Xenopus tropicalis: one gene and its partner. The protein of the gene in region 1 purifies or fractionates together with the protein of each later gene. This does not show direct contact. Links are inferred from orthologs where the notes say so. Each region holds a gene or a part of one and is shown in the gene's direction. Other genes may lie near its edges.

The links.
Region 2: the proteins of kat7 (region 1) and brpf3 purify together in Homo sapiens (affinity purification with mass spectrometry; 3 studies listed by BioGRID and IntAct, counting the BioPlex papers as one, with this or other methods). This does not show direct contact. The link is inferred for Xenopus tropicalis from reciprocal best matches to the Homo sapiens genes KAT7 and BRPF3.

Annotation. Positions count from the first base shown.
Region 1 is NC_030686.2:14,504,409-14,508,804, forward strand, and holds the start of kat7 (histone acetyltransferase KAT7), read left to right. Parts: upstream 1-1,558; 5' UTR 1,559-1,674; intron 1,675-4,396. UniProt on the Homo sapiens protein: Catalytic subunit of histone acetyltransferase HBO1 complexes, which specifically mediate acetylation of histone H3 at 'Lys-14' (H3K14ac), thereby regulating various processes, such as gene transcription, protein ubiquitination, immune regulation, stem cell pluripotent and self-renewal maintenance and embryonic development.
Region 2 is NC_030678.2:65,005,900-65,009,552, forward strand, and holds part of brpf3 (bromodomain and PHD finger-containing protein 3), read left to right. Parts: intron 1-2,354; coding exon of another isoform or gene 2,355-2,372; coding exon 2,373-3,653. UniProt on the Homo sapiens protein: Scaffold subunit of various histone acetyltransferase (HAT) complexes, such as the MOZ/MORF and HBO1 complexes, which have a histone H3 acetyltransferase activity.

The DNA of each region.
Region 1 (4,396 bases):
CGTTGGCCGACCCCAGGGGAAAGGCACTCTCCCTAGCCATGAAGCGAAGAAGAGTTCGAAGACCCTTGCCCTTTGGAGCCTTTTGGTCAGGGATTAAGCCCCCCCCCCAGCAAAGGAGGACTCGAAGACTCGTTTTTTCACCTGAGCCTTTTGGCCTGTGGGAATCGAGTATGGTGGCCTTGTCCATTTTAGGACTGGCTAGTTTGCACCCTTTGTGCACATGTGATTTTGCACTTAGGAACAGAAAGCATTGACCTCGGGATAAAAAATAAAAAAAAAAACAGTTATAATGGGGACATGTTATGCAGCAATTGCCCAGGCACCATGGTACAACCACTCTAAAACTTGCAAAGAAGAAAGTGTGTTGGGTAAAACCACACCGTTACACTGGCGACAGTTGCCAAGGAGCTTTTTTCTGAGGCACTATGGTGCTTGTTGCCTTGAGCCAAGAGTACCTATTGCCTTGTAATATTTTACTAAGAAATACCAGAAGTTGTCATTATTTTTTATTATTAATAAGAAAGAAAACATGATTATTTCACTTTAAAGATAATATAGGCTTCTGCGAGTGAGCTTCCATATTGGCAGCCAATATGCTAGAGATTGTAGTTATTATCATCTCCAACGTGCTATCCCAGGGATAAACAACATTGTTCCCACAGGAATTCAGTTTGCCCTGCCCCTCTCTTGCTCTAAGTTATGACTGCAGGGTTCTGTGAATCAATGGCTGGAAAAGACACCAACTATACAATAATATTGCGATATAAGAACATATAGTTCCGGCAGATATATGCGCATGGATACACAAGGAGCCAGTTGACTGCCTTTTGGTATAACGGGCTGAGCAGATCCATGTTCTGCGCATGCGCGGGGCTATTCCCACGGAGAGACAATAGCGAGTGAGAGGTGAGGAGGAGGGGCTCCGGGTGCGTACGCGATGCACAGGGCGAGAAACCTGACTCAAGGGGAGGGGCCGCGCCTGCGCGTCATTCTGCCGTTACCCGGAGACGGCGCAAGAAAAAGCCCGTTCTGCGCCAACCGCGAATTCGGTTGTGCTGGGCGGGATCAAAGGGAGAAGGGGGGAGCGCCAAGCGATGCCCCGGAGGAAGGTGAGATGCATGGGATAGGAAAATGGAAGCTGCGTATGGGGGTGGGCGTGTGCCCCTGGTGTGGCGTGGGCCTCTTCTGGACACTGCACTGGAAGAATGCTGCGTGTAGGCACTGGCTATTGTGCAGAGCATACGGCGCTATTTTTGCTTTGCCTGCAGCAGCCTCCATGTGAGAGATACAGTCAAACCAAGGCCTGTTGTGGGTTAACTCGTGAGAGGCGGCGATTGGATACTTGCGTTCCATCTTATGTTGTGGTTGGCTGAAATGTGCTCTGTGCAGCTGTGGATTGGACGCAGTTTATGTCTGTCAGGACTGGCGCCTCATTGATTCTCATGCGCGCCAATTACTTGCTGGTCCCGCCTTCCTCTCGTTACTGATTGGTTGAGGTGGTTTAATAGCAGTCGCTATTGTAGTATGTTGTTCCTGTCGGTGCCGCTATAGTCCGTCGTTGGATTGGTTTGTGCGATCACTGCAAGGTTTTCTATAGGCTGCCGATAATTAAGGGCGTGGTATAAACAAAGGAAGTAAGGAAGCAGTGTTGGAAAGCATGGAAACCTAATTGAGGTACATTCAGTGTTTTGCTTCAGCTGTTTGTATAACATGGAGTGTTACAGGTGTATATTCCCGTACAAGTACATCTGAGTATAATTTATTTCACAGAGAAATCATTTTCATTTTTCTGTTGCTCTCCATTTTGGAAACGGGCAGCTATGTGGTTAGGTTCCCATTTGCCTTACGAACCAGGGACTTGAGGCATGGATAGAAAGATACGTAGAATACAACTTCTTGCTGGGGTTAATGACCATTTTAAAAAGAATAGGGTTTTATCAGCTAATAGTTAATGCAAGGGTGAACTATCGCTTTAATACATCTGCATGCCTCATATTCGCTGAGATACAGAATACTCTGAGATATATGGAGAATGCTTTTAGCAAGTGGCTGTGATAAAATACTGAAAATCCCTTGCATTGAGCATGTTTGAGCAATAGAATTCATGCCTCCGCAGGCACAGGGCTAATCCAATGTTTATAATTAATGGCATATCCCTACTGAAAAGGTAATTTCACACAGGTGACACCATTACCCTTAGTAACATAGTAACATAGTAAGTTGGGTTGAAAAAAAGACATACGTCCATCACATTCAACCATAATGCCTATATATAACCTGCCTAACTACTAGTTGATCCAGAGGAAGGCAAAAACCCCATCTGAAGCCTCTCTAATTTGCCGCAGAGGGGAAAAAATTCCTTCCTGACTCCAAGATGGCAATCGGACCAGTCCCTGGATCAACTTGTACTAACAGCTATCTCCCATAACCCTGTATTCCCTCACTTGTACTGAGAGCTATCTCCCCTACCCCTGTATTCCCTCACTTGTACTGAGAGCTATCCCCCTACCCCTGTATTCCCTCACTTGTACTGAGAGCTATCTCCCATACCCCTGTTTTCCCTCACTTGTACTGAGAGCTATCTCCCTTACCCCTGTATTCACTCACTTGTACTGAGAGCTATCTCCCCTACCCCTGTATTCCCTCACTTGTACTGAGAGCTATCTCCCCTACCCCTGTATTCCCTCACTTGTACTGAGAGCTATCTCCCTTACCCCTGTATTCACTCACTTGTACTGAGAGCTATCTCCCCTACCCCTGTTTTCCCTCACTTGTACTGAGAGCTATCTCCCTTACCCCTGTATTCCCTCACTTGTACTGAGAGCTATCTCCCCTACCCCTGTATTCCCTCACTTGTACCGAGAGCTATCTCCCCTACCCCTGTATTCCCTCACTTGTACTGAGAGCTATCTCCCCTACCCCTGTATTCCCTCACTTGTACTGAGAGCTATCTCCCCTACCCCTGTATTCCCTCACTTGTACTGAGAGCTATCTCCCTTACCCCTGTATTCACTCACTTGTACTGAGAGCTATCTCCCCTACCCCTGTATTCCCTCACTTGTACTGAGCGCTATCTCCCATAATCCTGTATTCCCTCACTTGTACTGAGCGCTATCTCCCATAATCCTGTATTCCCTCACTTGTACTGAGAGCTATCTCCCCTACCCCTGTATTCCCTCACTTGTACCGAGAGCTATCTCCCCTACCCCTGTATTCCCTCACTTGTACTGAGAGCTATCTCCCCTACCCCTGTATTCCCTCACTTGTACCGAGAGCTATCTCCCCTACCCCTGTATTCCCTCACTTGTACTGAGAGCTATCTCCCCTACCCCTGTATTCCCTCACTTGTACTGAGAGCTATCTCCCCTACCCCTGTATTCCCTCACTTGTACTGAGAGCTATCTCCCCTACCCCTGTATTCCCTCACTTGTACTGAGAGCTATCTCCCTTACCCCTGTATTCACTCACTTGTACTGAGAGCTATCTCCCCTACCCCTGTATTCCCTCACTTGTACTGAGAGCTATCCCCCCTACCCCTGTATTCCCTCACTTGTACTGAGAGCTATCCCCCCTACCCCTGTATTCCCTCACTTGTACTGAGAGCTATCTCCCCTACCCCTGTATTCCCTCACTTGTACTGAGAGCTATCTCCCATAATCCTGTATTCCCTCACTTGTACTGAGAGCTATCCCCCCTAACCCTGTATTCCCTCACTTGTACTGAGAGCTATCCCCCCTAACCCTGTATTCCCTCACTTGTACTGAGAGCTATCTCCCATAATCCTGTATTCCCTCACTTGTACTGAGAGCTATCCCCCCTAACCCTGTATTCCCTCACTTGTACTGAGAGCTATCCCCCCTACCCCTGTATTCCCTCACTTGTACTGAGAGCTATCCCCCCTAACCCTGTATTCCCTCACTTGTACTGAGAGCTATCTCCCCTACACCTGTATTCCCTCACTTGTACTGAGAGCTATCCCCCCTACCCCTGTATTCCCTCACTTGTACTGAGAGCTATCCCCCCTAACCCTGTATTCCCTCACTTGTACTGAGAGCTATCCCCCCTAACCCTGTATTCCCTCACTTGTACTGAGAGCTATCCCCCCTAACCCTGTATTCCCTCACTTGTACTGAGAGCTATCTCCCCTACACCTGTATTCCCTCACTTGTACTGAGAGCTATCTCCCCTACCCCTGTATTCCCTCACTTGTACTGAGAGCTATCCCCCCTAACCCTGTATTCCCTCACTTGTACTGAGAGCTATCTCCCCTACCCCTGTATTCCCTCACTTGTACTGAGAGCTATCTCCCCTACACCTGTATTCCCTCACTTGTACTGAGAGCTATCTCCCCTACACCTGTATTCCCTCACTTGTACTGAGAGCTATCCCCCCTACC
Region 2 (3,653 bases), on another chromosome or scaffold:
GCAAAACAGGTGTCAGCGAGCTGTTTTCTTGCTACTTTATCATTGATCTGTTGATAGGCTGCTGGGGCCAAATGGGAAGGGGGGGTGGGGTGACACCACTCAAACTTACAGTGCAACAGTAAACAGTGACTGAAGTTTATCAGAGCACTAGTTATATGACTAAGGGCACCTGGGAAACTAAGAATATATCAAGCCCCACGTCAAATTTAAAACTTGAATACAAAAAAATCTGTTTGCTCTTTTGAAAAATTGATTTCAGTGCAGGATTATGTTAGAGAAGCGCTGTTAACTGATTAATTTTGTTTTATCTTGACAGAATCCCTTTAATGTAGAAGTGAACTTCAAGTTATTTTAGTCTCAGTTGTTGCTACAGTAGATATTTAAAATTTGTATCATGATTCTGAAAGTATTTGTTTATGAACAAGGTTACTGTTTGTGCCGAAACACCTACTATGGATGTTCCAGACTTAGCACCTGTCTCAGGGCTGTGTTTGTTGATTATGGTATCTGTGTTAAACTGTTTTGGCCCACCTACATGTATATCTGTACATATGTTTAGAACTTTTAGTTTATCTGTTTTGTTGATACGTATACTTTATAAGATGAACACAAAGAGGGAAAACTCCATGTAGAAAATGTTTTTATGGTAATATATTTATCCATACCTAATCTATTTCCTGCATAAGGGCCGAGTTTTTTTATTCTTTTTTTTTTTTCTCACCTTTAGCTGTATTATGCTACTCACTTAATTTTTCAGGATTCATTGAGGTCTGGCATGGTGCCAAGAGACTGGCGGATTGCTAATGTGGTGCCGTTATTTAAAAAGGGATCCCGTTCTCAGCCTGAAAACTATAGGCCTGTTAGTCTGACATCAGTAGTAGGAAAACTTTTGGAAGGGGTAATAAGGGATAGGGTACTTGAATACATTGCAGTTCACAATACTATTAGTTTGTGCCAGCATGGTTTTATGCGTAACAGATCTTGCCAGACTAATTTAGTCGCCTTTTATGAGGAGGTGAGCAGGAACCTTGATGCTGGAATGGCAGTTGATGTCATCTACTTGGACTTTGCTAAAGCGTTTGATACAGTACCTCACAGAAGGTTAATTATCAAATTAAGGAATATTGGCCTAGAACATAATATTTGTAATTGGATAGAGAACTGGCTGAAGGATAGAGTACAAAGAGTGGTTGTAAATGGAACATTTTCTAATTGGGCCAGTGTGGTTAGTGGAGTACCGCAGGGGTCAGTCCTTGGGCCTTTGCTTTTTAACTTGTTTATTAATGACCTGGAGGTGGGCATAGACAGTACTGTTTCTATTTTTGCTGATGACACTAAATTGTGCAAAACTATAAGTTCCATGCAGGATGCTGCCGCTTTGCAGAGCGATTTGACAAAATTAGATAACTGGGCAGCAAACTGGAAAATGAGGTTCAATGTTGATAAGTGCAAAGTTATGCACTTTGGTAGAAATAATATAAACGCAAACTATCTACTGAATGGCAGTGTGTTGGGGGTTTCCTTAATGGAGAAGGATCTAGGGGTTTTTGTTGATAACAAGTTGTCTAATGCCAGGCAGTGTCATTCTGTGGCTACTAAAGCAAATAAAGTGCTGTCTTGTATAAAAAAGGGCATTGACTCAAGGGATGAGAACATAATTTTGCCCCTTTATAGGTCCCTGGTAAGGCCTCACCTTGAGTATGCAGTGCAGTTTTGGGCTCCAGTCCTTAAGAAGGATATTAATGAGCTGGAGAAAGTGCAGAGACGTGCAACTAAACTGGTTAAGGGGATGGAAGATTTAAACTATGAGGTGAGACTGTCGAGGTTGGGGTTGTTCTCTCTGGAAAAGAGGCGCTTGCGAGGGGACATGATTACTCTGTACAAGTACATTAGAGGGGATTATAGGCAGTTGGGGGATGTTCTCTTTTCCCATAAAAACAATCAGCGCACCAGAGGTCACCCCTTTAGATTAGAGGAAAGGAGCTTCCATTTGAAGCAGCGTAGGTGGTTTTTCACGGTGAGGGCAGTGAGGTTATGGAATGCCCTTCCTAGTGATGTGGTAATGGCAGATTCTGTTAATGCCTTTAAGAGGGGCCTGGATGAGTTCTTGATCAATCAGAATATCCAAGGCTATTGTGATACTAATATCTACAGTTAGTACTAGTGGTTGTATATATAGTGTATGTATGTGAGTGTATAGATTGGTAGGTGTGGGTTAAGTGTGCTGGGTTTACTTGGATGGGTTGAACTTGATGGACACTGGTCTTTTTTCAACCCTATGTAACTATGTAACTATGTAACTGCATGTTTGTTTCTCTTATCTTCTCTCTATTCTAACCTGACTTCTTTCATAGGTATTGCCTTCCACTGACATGAGAAACCCGCGTCGTAAATTTCGTCACTGTGGTGGTGGAGGCAAAGGATCACCTTCCCCCTACAGTCTGAAATGCTCTCCAACTCGAGAGACATTAACATATGCTCAAGCACAACGCATGGTGGAAGTTGAGATGGAAGGGCGTCTTCACCGAATTAGTATATATGATCCTTTAAGAATTGTCTCGGAGGATGAGCTAACTGCGCATGATATTATAGAATGCAACAGCAACAAAGAGAACAGTGAACTGCCTCTTGCTTCCCCATGTCGAAAGATGGCCTTTAAAAGCAAAAAGCACGAGCTATGCCCTAAGCAAGCTCAAACCACCTCTTCCCTCCAGCTTCCCCAGCCATGTTTTAGAGTTATTGAGCCTTTTAGTCTGGAAGTTGAAAGTGAACCATATTCTTTACCTGATAGCTTCTATTGTTATATTGAACGTTCAACAAAAGAGATGGACCAGGAAGTTGAATATGACCTTGATGAAGTAGATCTGGCCTGGCTGGAAATGATCAATGAAAAGCGGAAGAATGACGGATTATCTCTGGTGTCAGCTGATGTCTTTGAACTTCTGTTAGATAGGTTGGAGAAAGAGTCCTATATGCAAAGTCGTCGCAGCGGTGCACCACAGTCTGCTATTGATGAAGATGCATTTTGTTGTGTTTGTTTAGATGATGAGTGCCACAATAGCAATGCCATATTATTTTGCGATATCTGCAACTTGGCTGTTCACCAGGAATGTTATGGTGTACCATACATTCCTGAAGGGCAGTGGCTTTGCCGATGCTGCCTTCAGTCACCATCAAAACCTGTAAGTTGTGTGCTTTGCCCCAACCAAGGTGGAGCTTTTAAGCAGACTAGTGATGGGCGATGGGCACATGTGGTTTGTGCTATTTGGATTCCAGAAGTTTGCTTTGCTAACACAGTGTTCTTAGAGCCAGTAGAAGGGGTTAACAACATTCCATCTGCTCGGTGGAAGTTGACTTGTTACCTTTGCAAACAAAAAGGGCGTGGGGCAGCCATCCAGTGCCACAAAGTGAACTGTTATACAGCTTTTCATGTGACATGTGCCCAGAGAGCAGGTCTTTTTATGAAGGTAGAACCTGTTAGAGAGACTGGTTTAAATGGCACCACGTTCACAGTACGTAAAACTGCTTTCTGTGAGCTTCATTGTCCACCAGGTACACACAAAAAAGGAATATTGAGATGTGGTGGCAAAGTAGACAATAAGGACAATGGAAAGGAGGATGAGGCCAACAGAGAGGACAGTAAATTTTCTAAG